Linked DNA regions of Mus musculus: regions 1, 2, 3 and 5 are each reported to be linked to region 4. Evidence: microRNA targets listed by miRTarBase, many of them from high-throughput screens and not tested one by one. Region 4 holds a microRNA gene; each other region holds the end of a gene's coding sequence. Distances are between the middles of the regions.
The links. The annotated mature microRNA mmu-miR-1198-5p reads UAUGUGUUCCUGGCUGGCUUGG and lies in region 4 at 2,224-2,245, opposite strand. An mRNA with a match to its seed (bases 2 to 7 or 8) in the 3' UTR can be bound and repressed. Matches are read on the target gene's strand: a 7mer-m8 pairs with bases 2 to 8, a 7mer-A1 pairs with bases 2 to 7 and ends in A, and an 8mer does both.

Region 1 (4,241 bases), 130 Mb from region 4:
CAGGGTGGCTCCTTCACGTCCCACCCCTTAAACTCTAGGAGAAATTGAAGTGTTAATCGCGTGAGCAATATAGCAAATGAATACAAGTTTGTCCTGAGTAAAGTCAGAAACCCTCAGAGTAGGTCTGACTAATATTTTGGAAGCCAAGTGTTTGTAAGAATATTTAAAAATTACTTTAATTAAAAAGTAGTGAAAAAGGTAAAAATCGCTCCAAATCATACCACCTAAAAATGTTTCCAAGGTGGAGGTGTTTTGTTTTTAGCTTGTACGGAGTCACTTGCAGAAGGTTTACAGCCCGTTATATACATTTCCTATTTTATTCCTATATTTGTTTTGAAATTATCTCTACAAACTATACACATGAACTATTTGCTTAAAAATGTGTTACATACATACATACAAACATACATAAATACATACATACATGTATCTTAGCTTATAACTTAATATAAAATCTTGGATATGAGTAGAGGTCACAATATATTCATAGATCTAGTCTACTGTTTTAATGGCTTCATAATACCCAACTAAATGGATGTGCCATCAGTTAAAAGTCACTCATGTTGACAGGTGGACATTTGGATAATGTCCAAGTTCCTATGTTTTTGAGTTTCACTGAGATTTAATTCACATACCACAACATTCACCCACTTGGTATGTTCATTGTTATACAACCACTGATGTAATTTATGAACACTCTAGCTTTTCTTGCCTACCATTTATTACTACATATATATGCACTTTTTAAACCAACTCTGTACTTGACATATATATGGAATTGCACATTTTGTCCTCACCAGTGACTGGCTTCTTTCCCTGAACATACTCTCAGGGTTCTCCCATGTGGTGGTATATCTCAGAAGTATTCCTTATTTTCTTAATAAACAGCATGTGAAGAAACTGGATTACTGTTTTATTAAACATTTAGTAGAACTCTAGATTTCAAATCTAAAGCAACTTAAGTATAGGTATTGTTGTGGCTTATCTGTCTTGTGACTTCTTTAACCTATTTGTTAGTAGGTCGATTCTGGCTTCCTATATTTGGTTCTTGGTACTTTATCTTTTTAGGGATTTGTTCATTTTTAGTAGGTTAATCTATTGACACATGAGTACAACAGTACTCCCTCACACACCTTCTATTTTTCAAAGGTCAGTAGCAACATTCCCTCCTTTATTTCTCAAACTAATGATTACATTCTACCTCTTCCTGCTGTATGTAGCAAAAGGCTTGCCAGTTTCTCGCTTGGATTCCTTGCATTTTCTCTCTTGTACTCTATTCTCAGGCATTTTGCATGTTTTCCCCTTTTTGTTTGTTCTAGGTGTAGTTTGCTATTATTTTCCTATGGCTTAAGATATGAAGTGAATTACTGTTACACGGTCTTTCTTCTCATTGAATAGGCTTATCTCTAAGCATATCCCATATATAGACAAAGGTAGCTGGGAACCATCAGTGTGGATGCTGAGGATCAAACTCAGGTCCTCTGCAAGAGCAGTAAGTACTCTTATGCACTGAGCCATCTCTCCCGCTTCTTTATTGACCGACTTGGTCTTTAAGTTATCACTAATTTTCACTTATCTGTGAGTTTCCCGATTTATTGGTACTGATGTGTAACCTTCTTCCATGTGGAAGAGAACATGTTTGACAAGACTTTAGTCCATTTGTATTTATTAAGGCCTGTTTTGTGGTTCAGTTCATGATCTAGCCTAAAGATGTTTCATATACATGGGATAAAATATATATATTCTAGTAGAGCTATATTCTAGAGCTGTCTTTCAGATCTATCCAGCATCCAGTGCTGAAACTGGCTACTTCCTTGTTTATCAACTGTGCAGCAGTACTTGTATTAGGAAGGAGACACTGAGTACCCACCAGTTTGGAGATGTGCCTGTTTCTCCTTTCATTCTTTACTTTGTTTGCTACCTTGTTTCAGGTTATTTGAGGGCTCTGTAGTTATGAAAATATGTGATTAAAATTCTCACATCTTAAAACACCAACCTTTTAAACACAAAGTGGATCTTTATCTCTAGCATTTTTGTTTCCCTTTCCTCAGCCATGCGAACTCTTTCAACACACTGTAGGGCTAACAGAACAGTACAACTACCAATATAATTCTGTTACTTCTAGGAAGCAGAATTAGGTTTACAGCCTAGTAAAATTTAGCCACCTTATTTCCCTTTTGTTTTATTTGTTCCTATGGATTTACAGGATTTTTAAAGAAACTATAGCATTATTTCCCAGCCTTTTTGTCCTATTATTGGCAGGTCTGAGGGTTTGAACTCAGGTCTTCCTGTTTGGTGGCAAATGCCTTTACTCACTGAGCCATTTCACTCGACCTTTTGTAGTATTTTATGCTTCTTTCTCGCTTTTGAATGAAATTCTTATTATATGTTGTTTGATGTACTTAGTGGAGTACCCTAAAGTTCATTTTTCCCCTTGTTATAATATAATATAATATAATATAATACCTTGGATATTATAATCTCATTTAACCCTTACTCAGGGAGGTCAGAAGCAATGTTACTTTTTATAGATGAGATAAATGAGGCTCAGAGTGAGTGACTTTCTAAGCTCAGGATGGTAAACATGGGTGACTTTGAGGGTCACAGGTCTGACTCCAAAGCTGGTTCTACCGTCTAAACCATTTAGGTTCTTCTTCTTCTTCAACAACTATAAACGAATCACTAGGGAATTTGAGGCAGGCTGCCTTTCCTCTAAAGAACTTTCTTTCCTGTCCCTTTAATATAGATGCTAGTTCATTTGTCTTGAAAGTTCATACATTAGACAGATACTCCATGTTTAATGGATATTGTTTTGAATGCAATAGTATCATAGACTACCAATATTTTGGTTTAAAAGATGTCATAATAATAAATATGCTTTTGAGGACTCTGAAAACTTAGTGTGGAAGCAATCATTAAGTTAATAAACTTATGAATCTACCTACTGAAACTGTTGAAGGTTCTGACAAAACACAGTTTGAGTTCAGTAAAGAAATATTTTAACACTGGGTTAGTTTTAAAACTTCGTATACAGGAAACACTCCTAGAAAAAGTCTTATCTCTAGGACTAAACACTGAAGACTACAAAATTATTAAAGGATTTTTGGGATCTTTAGGAACAGTCCTATGTAATGTATCCTGAGAATTAAAGGTTTTCACATGGTCTTACCCCTCAGGGTATTTTCTGCCATATATAGTGTTTCATTATTATCTTTAACACCCAGGATATTGTCAATTTTATACAATCTTTTTCAATACTATACAGTATTTAATTATAGAAAATACTTTTTAGGGTGGAGAGATGACTCAGAGGTTAAGAGCACTGACTGCTCTTCCAGAGGTCCTGAGTTCAATTCCCAGCAATCACATGGTGGTTCACAACCATCTATACTGGGATCAAATGCCCTCTTCTGGTGTGTCTGAAGACAGCTACACTGTACTCACATACATAAAATAAATAAATATATCTTAAAAAAAGAAAATACTTTTATCAATTCTCTCCAAATGCTGAGAGCAACTGTCCTAATTTCTTTCTTATATTTCCTCTTCAATTTTCAACAAATTTTTATGAATTTACATATTCTTGATCTAAGAAATGAGAAAAGAAAAATCATCTGAATATTCATTTACATACATATATCCAAATGTGCATGTACATGTGTGTAGATACGAATTCCTAGCTGCCATTGATTTCTGTTCTGCCATCAGGAGCAGATGTTATAAGGGAAGAGCGCTGAACAGCTGACTGTTGCTTTTTGCTCTTTGCAAACTCTATCACCAATATTTTCCCATAGAGTTTATATCCATTAATTTGGTGCAGTGCTTGCCATGCTATGTCTTTATCTGGAAAAAAATAAGAAACATGCATCAAATTATATAGTGCTTAATCACTCAATTATATTACAGGGTTAATTTGGATTTGTGTGCTATAAAAAATCATAATGATGTTTGATGTTTTTGTCGTGCCTGCAATCCCCAGTTTGTATAAGTAGTCAAGATTAAATTAATGGGCAATAATAGTGACAAAAGGCCAGCACCGGGTGACCTTGGGCGTGGAGTCAGTGGACAACCAGAAGGTCCCTAGAGGACTCTCCACTCGATCTTAGGACCTATGGTGAGTGGAACACAACTTCTGTTCCAATCCAATTGCGCGGGACCTGAGACAGCACTAAAGAAGCAGAAAACCCGGCCTGACCAGGGTCACAAATCCTTCCGGTCACCACCAGCACCAGGTCACCTGG
Region 2 (4,241 bases), not on the chromosome of region 4:
TTTTTGGGATTATTCAAATGGTGCCAAAATTCATGCTGGTGTTTTCATTTGTTGCATCTAGCCTTTCTTTTCATTAGGTTATCAGAATGAGTGCATGTGACAAGATTGGAACAGCTCTCATGTATAGTAGAGCTCCATCGGAAACTGCATAGTTTTTTATCTGACTGCTGACAGTTAAATTTAGTTTCTTTCTTTATCTTTCCACCAGGACTTGGAAGAACAGAGTCGGTTGATAGCTGCCTCCAGTAGACCAAACCAGGCTGGTAGTGAGGGCCAGCTTGTTCTTAGCAGTAGCCAATCAGAGGAGAGTGATTTGGGAGAAGAAGGGAAAAAAAGAGAGTCGGAAGCATAAACTTGTTGCTGCTTTTTGAGTTCTCATTTCCCTGGGATGTGGCACAGCGTATCCATGCTGAAGATCATGGAAGAGATAAGCTTTACAGTAGTGTGCTTCAGCTTCATTTAAAAAGACTGAACTTGATAACCGGTTATAGCGAACATTTCCCCGTAAAAATAAAATACTATGCATTGTCATCCAACTCTGCTTTCCTAAACAAGACCTGCTTACTTTTCTGTAGTAGATTGCTGAGGAATTACAGGTCTTCAAGATATTTTTCCTTTAAATTGTGAACATTTTATCTTGCACTGTAATTGGCTGTCTCCATAAGGAATGATTTATTCTTGGATTCTGACATTCCTGTGTATACTCTCCCTTTCATTAGGAATGTTTTATTGGTAGTGAGGGAGGGCTCAATTGAGTGAGCTTAACATCCTTTATGTGGAGAATTCTATAAGTGTGCAAGTGTTGTAACAATATTGAGTGTGCAATAGAATTTGCACAAAATCACAAGGACGGGGCAGGTGGTGCTGTTGACTTCAGGATGTTTTGTGGCTTGCTCCATTTCTCTGATGTACTAGATCATGGCAGTGGGAGACCTCAAGTGTCTGTTGGTGTTTGTGTGGCACTTGGTATTTTGTTACCATCTTCTCAGTTCTCAGGTTGGGACTTTACTTATTGCTGCAGAACAGGAAAGGTTAGAGAGTAAGACTTCAGAATTTATTGAGATTGTTGTTGTTCAAACATTTTATATTAGAATTGACATGTAAAGGGAGTGTTGTAGACTGATACATTGTATTTTCTGTATTGTGAAATAATTTTTAAATGACAATGAGTGACATTTCAAAAGATGTTCTATAACAATTATGTTTATTGCTTAAATAAAAATGTGCAGTTTAGTTTAGAAAACAATCTTTTGAATTTCAGACTGATAACCCCAGTATTTTCATAATCCCACATTTTGATAATGTATTGAATTGCCACTTTTTATCCATAAAGGCAAATAACTAATTTGAGTGTAGAATAATTTGCACTAATAATTGTAAATACTTTTACTTTTCAAATGAGTAAAAGGTCTAATTCCATGAAAGACTGAAAAGGAACTGAACACCTCATATAGTGCAGGACAGAGTTAGCGTGTACTGAGGGTGATTCTGTCAAAACTTTCTTTACTAGGACTTTAAACTGTGTTTACAGATTTTATTTTCATTCATTCTACATGAAAAGGTGTGTGTGTGTGTGTGTGTATATATACACACACATATGTATACAGGTTAAATATATTGATTAGTATTTTACATAGTCATACATTTAGAGATTTTCAAAAGGTTAACCACTAATTTCACAAGTAGTTTCTCTTTGTTCTGAATTAGAAGTTTTAGTTTTCAGCTTATAGCTCCGTTTCACACTCTGTAAGTACACTGTTTTCTGTAGGAACAAGATAACGATATATATAGGATCATATTCTTTTTCTCCATTTGCCAAATGAGACTAATGGTTATTTACTACTCTTCAAAGTCTTCTGTTACCCAAACATACAGTTAATAATTATCAATTTATGGAGTGCATTTGGCTAAAAGTCTGTTTTGGGCTTACTAAAGGGAATGCCTTCATAGTAAGTAGTGTTTCCTCTGTTAAAACTGTGAACTGCTGTGGTTAGACCGTGATTAGTGGTGACAAGTCTTGCTTTTAAAACTTTTTTTGATATTGGTAAGGCTTCTTGTTTTGTTGTTGTTGTTGCTATTGATTTTATTTTGTTTTTGTTTGTTGATTTTCGCAGTGATCAGTTACTAAACTACCACAGAGCCACACCCCCACCCCAGGTTTTCAGTTTCATGAATCTTTTCTTGATGGAAGACGTCATGCTTGCTTCAGATGAACTGTGTTTTATAGTAAGAGTAGTCATCAGGAGGCACTTTTATTTGGTTGGTGCTTTGCATGGTAACAAAATAGTGATATTTGGATAAAAATTTAGGCCAGAGGTAAGAATTTTCTAATTCTTTTTAAGTCATGTTTCATAGGAACTCCCCCAGTTGTGTTCATGTCCATGGGTCAGACCAAAATGTGTTCCAGTGCCTAGGACGCATTCTGAGTGGATCAGTCCGTTTCAGTGATTTAACTTGTATCACTATTAAACTGTATGCAATTCTGCACATCAGCTGTAGTCAGCTCTCTGCTTGAAGAAGGCTCCTGTCAGCTTCTTCCTAAATGTTAGTACAGATGTCATTCTGTTATACTATCCGCCAAGATCTCCCACAACTTTTTTATTTTGGGGGAGGCACAGAATTGATTTTCTTGTTCTGAGTTTGGGTTCATTCCTGTCACGGTCACTGAGCCAAGGCAAGTAGACCTTGCCTCTTCAGTCTTAGTCCTGCGGGCGTCTGCTCAGATTCTCTTCCATATTCAAAATGCCCTGGAAAAGCTTCACTGTTTTAATACGTCCTAGATGTTCAACTGAAGCAGAGCGAAGAAATGGCCCTCCCAGCCCCATCCACCTAAAACAAAACCAGCAGCTGCTGCTACAGCCATTATGAAAAAATAACACAAACTCTTCTTAAAAAATAGATCACACAGAAAGAACTGAGGGCAGATGCACCTGGGGGGAGGGGGGGGAGGGCTGCCCCAGCCACGGGGAGAGGCCTGGGTGCTGAGATGACCCTGCAGGGCTGGGGTGCTAGTAGGTGGCTGCCTCCTTCCTTCTGCCTAGCCTCTGTAGTGTGGGCTGGATCCCAGGCATCTTCTGCCCTCTCCCCTGAGGGATCCTGGCCCCTGCTGAGGACTGGTACCTATTTCTCATTAAAGTGGCTTTGATCAGGAAATGAGATGGACACCAAGCATGAGTGAGGGCCACTGCCTGGCTACATGTCTCCCAGCTTTTTAGAAATTAACAAAGTTGCTTTTTAAAAAATGAAATTTAGCCTACCTAATTATACTCTGCATTCTGTTACCTATAGCTAATCTTGTTTTTTTCCATTACTTAATGATTGATTGGTGTTCAATTTCAAAAGTGTTCCAAGCTCCACAGTGTTGGGATGAGGATGTTGCCGTTATTTTTGAGAAAAGGATCGTAAGATGTGCATAACATTGTAGGTAGCATGGTTTTGTGCAGTGAACACACAAGTAACTACAGGAGCTGCACTCTTCACAGTTTGAACTGACAGTGCTGGCAGACCCTTAAAGCAGAGTCTTCTGACACACGAATGAAAGGAAATATTTGCTTCTAATAACAGTCTGAGCATTTAGATCATACTTTTAAGTATTTAAACACACCATTGTATATGGCAAGCAAACTTTTAATTTTATTTTTAGCAAGTTTATTTCTCTTTGAAATTGTCATTCTACATTAATAACATAAAGATTTTAAACTAGAACCATACTGAACTTTTTTAATGATAAGATGAAATGGACTTTAAAGGAAAAATTATTTAAAACTTTGTTAATAAGCCTCAATAGCATAAAATACTAATGTTAATCAAAATACTTCTAAGTATTTTTAAAGTACTTTAAAAATCTCCATCGGGCTAATTCCTATGTATTTCTTTTCCAGGAATATTATTCTTAATAGCATAAGCTTATTAAGACTAAATGGAAGTTGAAGGATTAGGCACACCTAGAGCAGTGGCTTCACCGTTTGATTCTCATTTCTCTGTGGTTTCCACCTCTTATCAGGAGCTGCCCTGGAAAGGATCCGGTCATGCTGCCTGCCTCTTTTCATCTGTCATGATGGATTTCATCCCTTTCACGGGCCTCTCCATCCTCTCTTTCCACATGGGTTGTGAGCCCAGCATTCCTGTCTCTGGCTTCCTGGGCCACTGCTCTAAGTTTCTCTTCATGCTTCTTTTCTTTTTGAGTCATCTTACTTTCTACTTGGGCTTGCATTTCCACTGCTGCTCAAGCCTTCTGATCA
Region 3 (4,241 bases), not on the chromosome of region 4:
AAGAAAAGTGGACAGCACACTGTTTAATTCTTTGCAAACACAAAAGGTAGAACAAGTGATACAGTCATTTAAGAATGCCAGGATTGTGTAAAATAGCAATGCGTTGTTTTCCTTCACAAAGCATTAATTCTATTTTTTTTATAGTGTCTTGGGTTTGACTGAGAGAAGAATTAATAGTATTGAGAACACAAGTTAATCGGATATGAGAAGTTCCTTCAGTTAAAACAACCAAACCTAACCCTGGCCACCTCTCCTTTCAAGCTTTGTACTTCCTTGTAAACCTGATGACATAAGAGAAGGTTGCTGGCTGGGGTCCCTCTCTAATTAGCCACTCACTGAGTTTCATAGAACCACACAACTCTTTCCTCCTCTGTAGTTGTTTTAGACCTCATTGATTTAAAAAAAAAAAAAATACAGCACACAGGGTCCGTACATGTAGCCTTGGCTAACCTGAAACTCCCTATGTTGACCAGGCTGGCTCAAGCTCAGAGATCTACTTACAGGTGTGTGCCGCCATGCCGCTGTAACGGTGAAAGGCAGGCGTGGTGGACCCACGCTATCAACGAGCAATAGGACATACTCTGTCTTGACTAAAGGAGATTCCACCAGTGTTGAGTAGAAGGCAGTGCCAGTTACACTAAGCCTTTCCCTACTGTTATTTCTACTGTGGAAAATGACTTACTTATACAGCTCTTCAAAATTATCCACCAGTTCTCCAGCACATGTCAATCATTGGCAGTGTATTAGAAAAGGGAAATCTAGGATAACTCTAAGCACACGAACTCTACCTGCTTTGCCCACTAGGCTATCTACAGTGCAAGCCTGCCTCAAGCACTGCTAGGAGATGGTTGAGAGTGCAAGACACCTGGCTACAGTTATTAGTGTGGTGTATGTAGGGGATGCGCATGTGCACAGTGCACGTGTGGAGAACCACAGATAACTCACAGGATGGTTGGTTCTTTCTCTAATTCCACCATTCGTGCTGAGGAAAGATCTCCAACCCTATCCCTAACCCAGGCTTGATGGCCATGCTTTTACCCACTGAGCCAGTGCTGGCAACTAGTTACAATTCGTTGAACCTGTACAGATATTGAGTCTTGATGATGAAACAGACTGCTGTCTAAAGGACACGAGTATATTTCTAAGATCCTTAAGTGGCTCAAATTTTTTTTTAAAGCTGATCCATCTTTTCAGTTTTCAGTCACCCCGAAAATGCACCACGCTGCGGTAGAATTCTGCTTCTATGTCTTCATGTAGAAATCTCAGTGTAAGACACTGACCATTATTAAATGTAAAGGCATCAAAACCAGCCAGCATTTGGAATTACAGTGTGGAATAGTCTTTTATTTTTCGAGACAGGGTTTCTCTGTATAGCCCTGGCTGCCCTGGAACTCATTCTGTAGACCAGGCTAGCCTCAGAAATCCGCCTGCCTCTGCCTCCCATGTGTTGGGATTAAAGGCGTGCGCCACCACTGCCTGGTGAAATATTCTTACAATCCTTTCCTACACTACACTGGCACACTCACTAACTGCCCAGGTTATAAAAATCACTTGCTGTCCATTCCCCAACCATCAACTCTATTTTCATACCTAAACCACATAAAACTATCGCTGGCAGACAAAATGGCTCACCTTAAGAATCTAAAAACCTTCCAGGTGTCTTTAAAAGTAACTCTGGAAAGCGTCCCCTAGAGCTTTGTCACATTGTCTCCATCCATTACCATTACAACAGAGCAAAAAGGTGCTACACCTTAAAAAGAATCTAAAGTAAACTAATTTTAAATTCTTCTTGTCTGAAAACATTTCTTAGCTCTTAAGCAGAGAGGGGGATAATTTTTTTTAATTCCTTGGAGAGGGCAAAGTATTTCACAAGTAAAAATAGTACGTTTATTGACAGTTGTACAAAAGATTCCAAAATATTTCATCATTGCAGTAAAGTGTAATTGAAAGCTAGTAAGTGCAATACACTGAATAAATGCCACTCAGGAGCATGATCTATTATTTCTTACAAAGTCCTCAATTAGAAACAGCAGGTATACGGTGTATATTTTCCAACATTTGGTAGTATTAGCTAAAAACCCTGGGCCAATAGGACCTGAGTTTCAGGCCCCTCACCTCTCAGCTAAGGATCTGGGCTGACCACCCTGGCGCATGCTCAGGCTGCATGTTCCTATCACTGGCACCAAAGTTCTATTTTGTGCCATGTCACATGATTTGGCTTTTGTATTACAGATGTATGTATGTGTAGGACACAGAGTGAAGACTGGATAAAACATGTCAAGAGTGACATGTTTTAACTCACTACATTTTCCAAACCAAACCCCCAAATCCCTCTAGGCAAGTGGCAAAGCATGTTTTCCAAGTACTTCCCCATCACCTAACAGAGGAGGTTATAAATATCCCAGACAGTGGACAGTGATCAGCAGAGACAGCTCAGGCTGGGGCACCAATTCTGTGTGACTCTGGGTCACTGAGAGAGAACCCAGGTGTCATTACCTGCTCCATAGGTTTGTATTCTAACACAAATAACATCAATACTTCAAAGCGTTTGTTGCAGACTTTAAATCAACACATAGCTGCAAATGAATTCTGTAGTTAATATAAGCTGACTTTTCTTTGATTTAAAAAAAAAATCTGGATATTTTAGAAAAATACATGTTCTTAGTCACCACTGGAAACCAAGGTGGCTGAGCCTTTGGTCACCTGACCTCTCGCTGTCACCCTGGTCTTCCCGCTAATGCTTTAGCTTGCACCAGGCTTGAGATTCAGATTATGTCCCCTAATGTGTAGCAACCCGACAAGCTTCCCAATCTAGTCTGTCACTCTGACAACAGCAGTAGTCACGATTCACTCCCAAATATAGTTCCAGCCAGGCCAGCCATGAGCCTCACCTGGTCCCTGGCCTTCAGCCTCTGGATCCCTGGGTGGGACCCAGAGAATCTCACGCTCATCCTCAGATCACCTCAGCAGTCGGTCAGCTCGGCCTGGGCCACTTGGTGCTTCCCAAACAGTTTACTCTCTGCTGCCATTTGGCTTGTTTTGGGACTAACGTTTCTCTTGTAAGCCAGATGTGGTGGCACACCCTTCTCATTCCAGCGCTCAGGACACCGAGGGCTTTGTAAGCTCAAGGCCAGCTGGGGCTACACAGTGAGACTTTGTTTTTAAAGAAAATCCCTTGTGCTGACAGTAAACTCGATAACCACGCTCTGGACTTAGCTCCATGGGGAACCAGTCATTACAATCCACTGCAAAAAAATGATGCCATGATCAATTCATTTCAGCACTCTGACAACCTGTGTGGGTTCTAACGGATCACTGTGTTGTTCTTCGTGGGAGATAAGAAGACCATCTGACTAGGTGTCACCACTCACAGATGATAGAACTCCAAAAGCAGAGAGGCCGCTAGCCAGCTACTCCACGTTCTTCAGATGCTTCTAGCAGAAGTAAGTGAAAACTTGAAAGAAATACTCAGCTTCCTACAGAAACCAGGAACTTCACACCCCATACCATACCAAGGGTAGTTGACCAAAATTATGTGTGTTCAAAACCACGCCCAATTAACCCAACACATCAGAATACAGTTGGCATAACCGATCCTTTAGGAGCTTCAGCAAACACTAATTGTGAAGATCACACGTGAAATATTTGGAACAGTGTGGTTCCAAATACATGTCTTCCAAATTTAGCAGAAACCACATGTGGATGTGCCAGGCGTCCCATGTGCGTTTAAGAGCTTCGGAATGTGGTCATGTCTTTCGGCTCTCGGCTGGGCACACACCAGTCGTCAGCCTCGTGGTTGGCTTTGTAATGCTTCCAGGCGGCTTTATTGTACACAGGGAGTCTCTCGACGGATTCTGTCGACAGAGCCTGGGGTTGAAAAGAAGTCAGACACTTCTGAGAGTTCGTTATCTGAGATAATATACAGTGGCAAACAGCGACCACAAAGTAAACAGGGTTCTGCTGGCATCTCATCAACTAGTTACTAACCACACACCATCTTCAGGGTGGATACATTAGGAAATGCTATTTACTACAACTGGAGCACTGGTAACACACTAGTTGGGTTTGATGCTTCAGGTATCCGCTAGCCAGCCTGGAAAAGTCTACCCAAGCAGAACAGACATCTCTTGAAAAGTGCAAGCCCAGCCAGGAGTCTGCTACTACTACCTTAATATTCATACACAGATTTATTGAGAAGAAAGCCAATCTTTTTCACTATATAGTAATGTATTATTAAAAGC
Region 4 (4,241 bases):
CAAATGCTAAGATCACAGGTCCTGGACATCGTGGCTGGGCTTCTTCCCCCCCCCCCCTTCCTTCTTTCTTTCGTTTTTGTTGGTTTGTTTGTTTTGTTTCAAGACATGGCTTCTCTGTGTAGCCCAGGTTGTCTTAGAACTCACTCTGTAGACCAGGCTGGCCTCAAACTTAGAGATCTGCCTGCCTCTGCCTCCCAAGTGCCAGGATTAAAGGTGTGTGCCACCACCACGTGAGTTTTCTCTCTCTCTCTCTCTCTCTCTCTCTCTCTCTCTCTCTCTCTCTTCTTTAACAAGTAAGCAAATAAGCTCTGGCAAGTTTTCTTAAAGAAAAACTTTCCAGGGGCTGGAGAGATGGCCCAGTGGTTAAGAGCACTGATTGCTCTTCCAGAGGTCCTGAGTTCAATTCCCAGAAACCACATAGTGGCTCACAACCATCTGTAATGGGATCTGGTGCCCTCTTCTGGTGCGTCTGAAGACAGATACTGTGCTCATTTATGTATACATACATAAAATAAATTAAAAGAAAAAGAAAAGAAAAACTTTCCAGGTTTGCGTTTCACCAGTCTGTTATAATATCAGAATGCCAGGGTCAACAAAACTAGTGTGCATACTCTGTAATGATTTTCCACACATTGTGCCACTGTAGTGACACACAACAGTTTTGGCCACCATGGACTAATGGTACTCTATTTCAGATCGCCTCAAAGATGGGTATGTTGGAAAGAGTAACCAATTTTATTTTTCCCTGTTTGGTCCTCTTCAGAGTGTGCTCGTCTCCTAGCATGCACTTTCTGCTCTTCCTAACCAACTGGAGACTGGAGTTGAGCGACCCCAGAGCCTTTTCATCCTCTTTCCAGCCACTGCTCTTCTGCCTGAAGTGCAGGACAGCCCCCAACCAAGGGCAGCTGCACAGAGGATTGAGACCCACAACGCTTTTCTTTTTTTTTTTTTCTTTCTTTTTGTTTTGTTTTGAGTCAGGATCTCTCTATGTAACCCTTGTTGTCCTGGAACTTATGGAGACCAGGGGGGCCTCAACCTCGCAGAGATCTGCTGGTGCTGGGATTAAAGGCATGCACCACCACCACATCTAGCCCCAGTGTTCTTTTTTGAGACTGAGTCTTGATTCCTTAATGGAAAGAATCCTACCTCAGTTTCCCAAGTAGCTAGGAATAGCATCACTGGGCACAGCTCAGGTGGTTAATCTGTATCTAGAATTGTTAAGTATAACTTAAGTCTTTATTATTATGATTTCTTTGTTTTTAAACATTGTCAGCCACCATCCACTTTTTTTTAAAGATTTATTTATTTATATGAGTACACTGTAGCTGTCTTCAGACACACCAGAAGAGGGCATCAGATCCCATTACAGATGGTTGTGGGCCACCATGTGGTTGCTGGGAATTGAACAAAGGGCCTCTGGAAGAGCAGTTAGTGCTCCTAACCACTGAGCCATCTCTCCAGCCCTTATTAACGATTTCTTTGTTTTGAGAGAGGGTCCCCCTATGTATCTTTGGCTCAAGCTCAAGGAGATCTCTGTGCCTCCATCTCTTTGGAATAAAGACCACCTGTTATGACTGTTTTGGTTTGATTTTATTTTTTTAAACCAAGCTGGCCTCAAAATCACAATCCTCCTAAGGTTTTTATTTTAATTTTTATTTATCTATTTATTTTACATGCACAGGTGTTTTGCCTGCATGTATGTCTGTGTCCCACATGCATGCCTGGTGCCTGTGGAGGCCAGAGGAGGGCATCAGATGCCCCAGAATTGGAGTTCAGACAGTTGTGAGCTGCCAGGTGGGCACTGAGAACTGAATCCCGGTTCTCTGGAAGAGCAGCCAGTGCTCTTAACTGCGGAGGCACCTCTCCAGCCCTGTGTGAGCTTTCTGAGTGCTGGGATTACAGGCAGGAACCACCAGAGTCAGCAGAACATGTTCTCAAAAGAAAGGAAGGTTCTCCTTACTACTATTCCCTGTTCCCTTTCCTCCTTCCTTCCTTCCACATACGATGTAAATATGAAAGTGAAACAGTTTCAACAACTGTTCCTGGAAGCAAAACACAGGTCCGTGTCAAAGGCTGGAAAATAGCAAGAACCGAGGTCCCTGGTGATTGGAGATCCATAATTCAGAACAGATGTGGAGGCTCAAACCTATAGTAGCAGCTCTTAGGAGACTGAGACAGGATGACTGCCATGAGTTAGAGGCTAGCTTGGGCTACACATGAGTACCAAGCCAGCCAGGAACACATAACAGACAACTGTCACAAACAAAATAAACAAAAGAAAAAAAAGAATCCACCATCATTGCTATCATTAATCCCTGAACAGCCTACTTGGTCCATCCTCCTCTCACTTTTGACTTCATTTCCTTCAGCCAAGGTCTCTCACTAAATCTGTCGCTCACAGTTTTTGGATAATCTGGCTAGCCTCCAAGCCCCAACTACCCTGGCATCACCTTGCCACCTTCCCAGCATGGGACTTACAGGCATACTTCTCCCATGGTGCTGGATTCTGAACTCAGGTCTTCATGCTTGCTCTTGTTACTAAGTGCTCTTGCCCACTGAACCATCTCTCCACCTGTGCCCCACCCCCACCCCCTGTGCACCTTGATACAAGTCTCCTATGTAGCCCAGACTGGTCTCCATCTTCCTATGTAGCTAGGATTGCCACGCACAGTCCGCTGAAATCTGCTTGGCAGGCCGAGAGGCCTGGAAGCGCTCACGAGGCAAAGAGTTTCATGGAAACTCACCTCCTGGAGTTTTGGTGTTCTCATTAAACCCATATACTCATACCCTATTTCCGCGTTAGTCTGGTGTATGGATCCACATGCTCTCTTTTAGTATTATCTTATTATAAGTGCCTTTTAAGATTGAATTCTGACATAGCTAAGCCTTCGCCAGTGTTCCAACATCCTAGAAAGTCCTTGAGCTGACCATGGGCTTGGAATTTAGTAAGAATGTTGCCTATTCAGTGATATTGAGAATTGCCTCTGGTATTACACTATCACTTAGAATAAAAGCCAAGTTGCTCCCATATGCAGGAATTTACAATGGTTTAGGAAGTAGATCAGGCTGTGGTTTTAGAGTATTGCATTATTCATGAGATGGTTAGCTAGATCGGAACTCCCTAATCAGAACCATGACTTATGTGTGAAAGCCCTTGCCCTAGGAGTGAAAAGATCTCACACCTGGCTCCTAAAACTATAGCTGACCTTAGATAGAGCTGACTTTGTCTCAGTTATTTTATTGCCCAGTTCCTGCCAGTCTTTGTGTTTACATTCCTCTGTTTTGTGTAAGAGTCATTAAGCATCCGGTAACCTCATTTGTACCTTGCCCATGTGTCACCTAACTTCCCTATTTTCTTCTGTATAAAAAGTTTGATGCGCAATTTGACAAATTACATTCAGATTCTACACAACCTCTTGTGTTTCGTCTGTCTGTCATTCATTCGCCCACTCTTTGCCCACCTGCCCCAGAGACTCGTTCCACGCAGACAAAGGGACCCAGAGGGTCTGTGGCATAGGATGACTTTGAACTTCTTTTTTGTTTTTTTTTTGGTTTTTTGCTTTGTTTTTGTTTTGTTTTTTCAAGACAGGGTTTCTCTGTGTAGTCCTGGCTGTCCTGGAACTCACTCTGTAGACCAGGCTGGCCTCGAACTCAGAAATCCACCTGCCTCTACCTCCTGAGTGCTGGGATTAAAGGCGTGCGCCACCACACCCAGCTGACTTTGAACTTCTGATCCTCCTTATTCTGTTATGTGTGTGTGATCCTAAGAACTGAGATCACAACATAAATATCACAGAGCCTGGTTTATGCAGTGCTTTGAACTAAGCCCAGGGCTTTGTGATATTATACAAGTACTCTGTTAACTAAGCTGTATCACCAGCACTAAACCTTTGTGTGTGTGTGGGTGTGGGTGTGTGTGTGTGTGTGTGTGTGTGTGACAGAGAGACAGACAGACAGACAGACAGGGTCTTATTATGTAGCCATTTCTGTCCTGGAATTCACTACATAGACCAAGCTAGCCTCGAACTCAGAGATCTGCCTCTTAAGTGCGGGCATTTAAAGGCTTGTGCTGCTATGTTTAGCCCCAAATTTCTTTCTTAATCCAGTATTATTCTAGTTTCTCCAGGCTAAGCATCCTTCATCCTAAAACCTAAAATCTAAAACGTTTTTTGTTTCTTTCAGACAAGGTCTTACTATGTAGCCTTGGATGGCCTAGTATTCACTATGCAACCAATACTGGC
Region 5 (4,241 bases), not on the chromosome of region 4:
AGTTCAGTGGGAGGTCCAGTTTATACCCCTTTAATTTGTTCCCAAACAGTGTTCTCTATTGTAGATTCTTGAGGGTGTGTTCTGGCTGTACAGGAATAACTAATAAATCCTTAGTTTAGTCTGACATGTGCTAATTTTAATGTATTATAGATTATTCTTTTTCCTCTTTAGAACTGTAGTTTGTAGAAGCAGCCAGTTTTAGTATGTCCAAATTAACTGAATGCTTGCTTTTTTTTTTTCTGGACTTTGTAATTACTGTTCAAATCTTTCTCTAGATTCTTATTACTCTGTTTCTGCATTTTCATCATTTGTTCTTTATGTATACTGTGGTTGAATGCGGACTCAGGAGATAAACAGTTACTTTTTACATGGCAATGACTATGTGATGTAAATTCTAAGAATTACTTAGGGAGGTTTGGTTTTTAAGTTACTTAATTTTGGAATAACTTATAAACTCAAGAACTGAAAATCTTATTTAGAAGAATCCAGCCCATTTTAAATATGGGCTTTGAACCTTATTACTGAAAGATGAAAAAGAAGTTATTTGAATACTTCTGTGAAACAAAGTCAGGAAGCATCCCCTAGGACAGCCAGGAATGGCTGCAGGCACTGTGTCTCACTTAATTTTACTGTGATTTGCAGGAAAGCGCAGACAGGCTTGCCTATGAAGTGAGTTTGCTGGTGTTCCAGCTGGCTGGAGGCATTGGAGAAAGACCACAACCAACTTTCTGAAGATAAATTTTATATTCTGGAGAAGTGGACTTCTAAAATGTTTCTATAACACTTTATAATATTGGCAGTACTAGGGCATTTGTAATCATGACATCAACATGTCATGCATGTTAATGGATTATTTCTAGATAGGTTTTTAAATGCTACCAGGAAAAAAATGTTTAGAAGCTCAAAATCTTAGACTTGGGAATGAAGCTTACCTCTGATTTTAATCTGTATTAAGTTTTAATAGTTCAAGTGTCATTAATTTTACAGGGTATGAAGTGAATTCATGAAGGGTACTGGGAAATTAAACTTTACTAACTTCTTTGCAGCCCCTTTCGATTGCTTACCTAACCAAGATGTTTTGTAGCACTGACCTACCTGGTTCAAATGGGGAGATTTCGTATGAACCAATTTCCCATGCGGATCTCAATGTGAGGAAGAAATGACTGACTGGTTTGCTTAGCAGCATCAGAACTGGCAGGTGGCCCATCTTTCATTGTACTGGCAGAGCTCTGTGCTGTGCCCACTAGAGTGTGTGGTCCAGGCTTCAGCTACTCTTTAGTGCTCAGCGAAGGGACACAGCTCCATCTGATACCTGAAGCCTCTGACAACCAAGTGACCATTCTGATACTAGGACATTATTAACCACAGAAAGAAGAAAAACAACAATTAACAATTAAATGAGGCTTGAGACCAAGCAGGAAAAAAGAAAACGTGGTGTGTATTTTGCAGGTTTAAGACAACCCAAGACAGTGAAACAATGGACTATATATGCAAATATAGACCTTGTAGGCACCATCATCAGTATGAGCCACCTATATATTTAAACTTGATTCAGGCCACATTCAGACATAAGCTCTTATTTACAAATATTTAAATTAAATACAACCTGAATAATGCTTTGTTACATATACACATATATATATATATAAAAGAAAAAGAAACTATACAACTCAGCAGTGTGTTTTAAGTATTCCATTTAGGCTCTGGAGAACCACTGGTGGTGGTCAAGTCTTTATGACTCCTTCTAGAAAGTCCTTTTCTATCATCTCTTCAATTTTTTGCCTGGCTTTGCTGGAAAAGGCTTTGTGATTCTCCAGTTTCATGTCCTTGTTTGGGAAGGAGTTTGGGTAGAGGACGGGGCTCCCTGAGTGTCCGCCACAGCGGCTTGTGACTTTGCTGTTGAAGACTTGGCTGAGGACATTGAAGAAAGGCAGAAGCTGCTCCATGTTGCGCATGGTGCAGAGCGTCAGCAGCAAGTGCCCTGGCTCCCAGCCCAGTGTCCTCCCCGAGCAGTCTTCCTCTGGGTTTTTCTGCAAAACACAAAAAGGAGTTGTTACTAATAGGTAACGTATGTTATGTGAGAAGTGGAGACAAATGCCAGCATCAAGTCTTCACTGCAGACTTGACGAAGTCCACTGGTTCTGAAGCCTTTTAGCCGCCAATCTAAATGAAAAGTTAACCATGGACTTTCATTATTAACAAATGCTGTCACACAGTTTACCATATTGCCTCTAGTCTCCTAAAAATCAAACCAAATCAAATCAATTTATCCTGAAAGAAAGTAAATGATGCTTACAGCCTTTATAGCTAATTTTGAAATACAAGACAATCATGGTAAAATTACTTTTTATATTCCTATGGAGATTTTTCCTTTAAAAGTGTGACCCTTCCCTCACAGCCCTGAGCTCTTAACCAAGAAAAGCACAGTTTCAGTGGTCTTTTGTTCTTATGTACCTGCCCTCCATACTAAATAACCAAATATCTCCATATGACCATTTCCTCCTCTGACTTCACAAGTCTACAGGTGTGTGCCTTCCTTCCTGTTTACCTGTCATTGCTTTTGCTGCCATATCATATGCATCAATAGCCACCCTCACCTGATGCTTGGCCATCTCCAATCCCTCCAAAATCTTAAAGTCCTCCTCGTCCTGTGGAAGGAAAGAGGAGAACTCATAGCCCCTGTTCGAGTAACAAGTGTGTTTGGCCATGAAGGCCTTGTTTAAAGGGATGGGGATGGGAGATCCTTTCTGGTGCAGATGGCTGCCGTATCTGTGGTCATTGTGGAGGACAGCAGAGGGCACAGGCCTACAGTCGTATGAATGGTCACTGTATCTGCATTTCCTCCTCAAATCCTGTGACAAAAAAGGAATGCTTTTGTCCTTAAGTCCTGGATGGACTTTTGGTCCATAACTTTGTCCTTTTATTTGGCTCCTAAAGAAGCAAGTTCCTCATGTCCTTTAAGTAAAGCTCCTAATTGCTTTCTTCCCTTTTGCTCTGTAGAGAATCGAGTACAGCTTCATTACTGCTGAAACAAATCGTGTGAGTTCACACAGACCTGGTCTCACATGAGCCCTAACTCTATGTACTGTTAAGATTCTGCACTTAGACAGGTATTAACACAGGCCCAATGGTGAAATGCCATTTTCATTTACCCCTCTGCTTCAGGGCCAAGATTGGCCCGAAGGTTAGCCTGATCCTTACTTAATTATAAAGGATTCAAGGCATGTATAAACTACAGAATTTAACTTCTACACTTTATTCATGAGACAGATTTTGGTAATTCTCATTTTCTCTTGATTTCCTTTATATAGATGGTTTTTTAAAAAATGTTTTAGACATTTGTATTTTTGAGTTCTTCCACTAACTTTCTGATTAGTAGTCACATTTAGTAGATGGCTTTATTCTCAGCAGTGTTTCTAAAACTACAGGGAGCAGCAGTAGGGTGGATATGCAAAACTGAAACATGGCATAACAAGAGTTTTATAGAAAATATTAGGAAATATTATTAAAGAAGTCTATCTAGCTAATTCAATTTTGATAAAGTATTTCTGTCAAGTTTATTGAAACTTTATTATGTGTTGATCTTTTCATTTTCTGATTTCCTTTGTTTTTTGTTTTTGTTTTTGGGTTTTTTTTTTTGTTTTTGTTTTTCGAGACAGGGTTTCTCTGGGTAGCCCTGGCTGTCCTGGAACTCACTTTGTAGACAGGCTGGCCTCGAACCCAGAAATCTGCCTGCCTCTGCCTCCCAAGTGCTGGGATTAAAGGCGTGCACCACCACGCCTAGCTTCTGATTTCCTTTTTGAGGCTAATCTGACAGGCTTGTTCTGCAGTCACCCCTGAGCACAGCTCTCGTCAGTTCACATCTGTGTTCATCATGGCATCAACCTGACTCTGAGCACACTAAACTCTCAAGAGTACTTACAAGCACTGGTTCCAGTGGTTTCACTCATTTTGAAAGTAAAAAATTTAAAAATAATATTAATAAAGATTTTCTTTATCTTTTTTAAAATTTGAGTATGACAAACAGATTTCTTAAAAATAAATCTTCAAAACCAAGAACTTATTTTCCAAATAAACTTGATAATGTTCTGAGCTTTACAAGAAACATTTAGTAAATGATTTACAAATGTAACATTTAATGTGGCAATTACTTAGTAAACATTTAGTGACTGACTCATGAATGTAGCATTTACTACTAGCACATTTACAGAATACACAATAAAACAGAAAACAACAATAAC

Region 1: the mRNA of Rbm41 is a reported target of mmu-miR-1198-5p. Seed matches in the 3' UTR shown: 7mer-m8 at 380-386.
Region 2: miRTarBase lists Appl1 as a target of mmu-miR-1198-5p. Seed matches in the 3' UTR shown: 7mer-A1 at 1,592-1,598.
Region 3: miRTarBase lists Pdk1 as a target of mmu-miR-1198-5p. Seed matches in the 3' UTR shown: 7mer-A1 at 3,533-3,539, 7mer-A1 at 2,240-2,246 and 7mer-m8 at 1,443-1,449.
Region 5: miRTarBase lists Pgm3 as a target of mmu-miR-1198-5p. Seed matches in the 3' UTR shown: 7mer-A1 at 1,630-1,636.

Annotation. Positions count from the first base shown.
Region 1 is chrX:139,942,061-139,946,301 of GRCm38, forward strand. Rbm41 (RNA binding motif protein 41) reads right to left here. Exons shown (of 7, transcript NM_153586.2): 7 at 1-3,843. The coding sequence ends at 3,677. Among named protein-coding and RNA genes, the nearest start is that of Rbm41, 54 kb to the right of the region's middle.
Region 2 is chr14:26,919,839-26,924,079 of GRCm38, reverse strand. Appl1 (adaptor protein, phosphotyrosine interaction, PH domain and leucine zipper containing 1) reads left to right here. Exons shown (of 22, transcript NM_145221.2): 22 at 209-4,241. The coding sequence ends at 352. Among named protein-coding and RNA genes, the nearest start is that of Asb14, 27 kb to the right of the region's middle.
Region 3 is chr2:71,899,610-71,903,850 of GRCm38, reverse strand. Pdk1 (pyruvate dehydrogenase kinase, isoenzyme 1) reads right to left here. Exons shown (of 11, transcript NM_172665.5): 11 at 1-3,867. The coding sequence ends at 3,727. Among named protein-coding and RNA genes, the nearest start is that of Pdk1, 29 kb to the right of the region's middle.
Region 4 is chrX:7,805,146-7,809,386 of GRCm38, reverse strand. It overlaps Mir1198 (microRNA 1198), which reads right to left and starts at 2,286; the gene lies at 2,166-2,286. All of the region lies in intron 14 of Gripap1 (GRIP1 associated protein 1), which reads right to left.
Region 5 is chr9:86,551,805-86,556,045 of GRCm38, reverse strand. Pgm3 (phosphoglucomutase 3) reads left to right here. Exons shown (of 13, transcript NM_028352.4): 13 at 643-3,570. The coding sequence ends at 732. Dop1a (DOP1 leucine zipper like protein A) reads right to left here. Exons shown (of 39, transcript NM_177208.3): 39 at 240-2,030. The coding sequence ends at 1,725. Among named protein-coding and RNA genes, the nearest start is that of Pgm3, 18 kb to the left of the region's middle.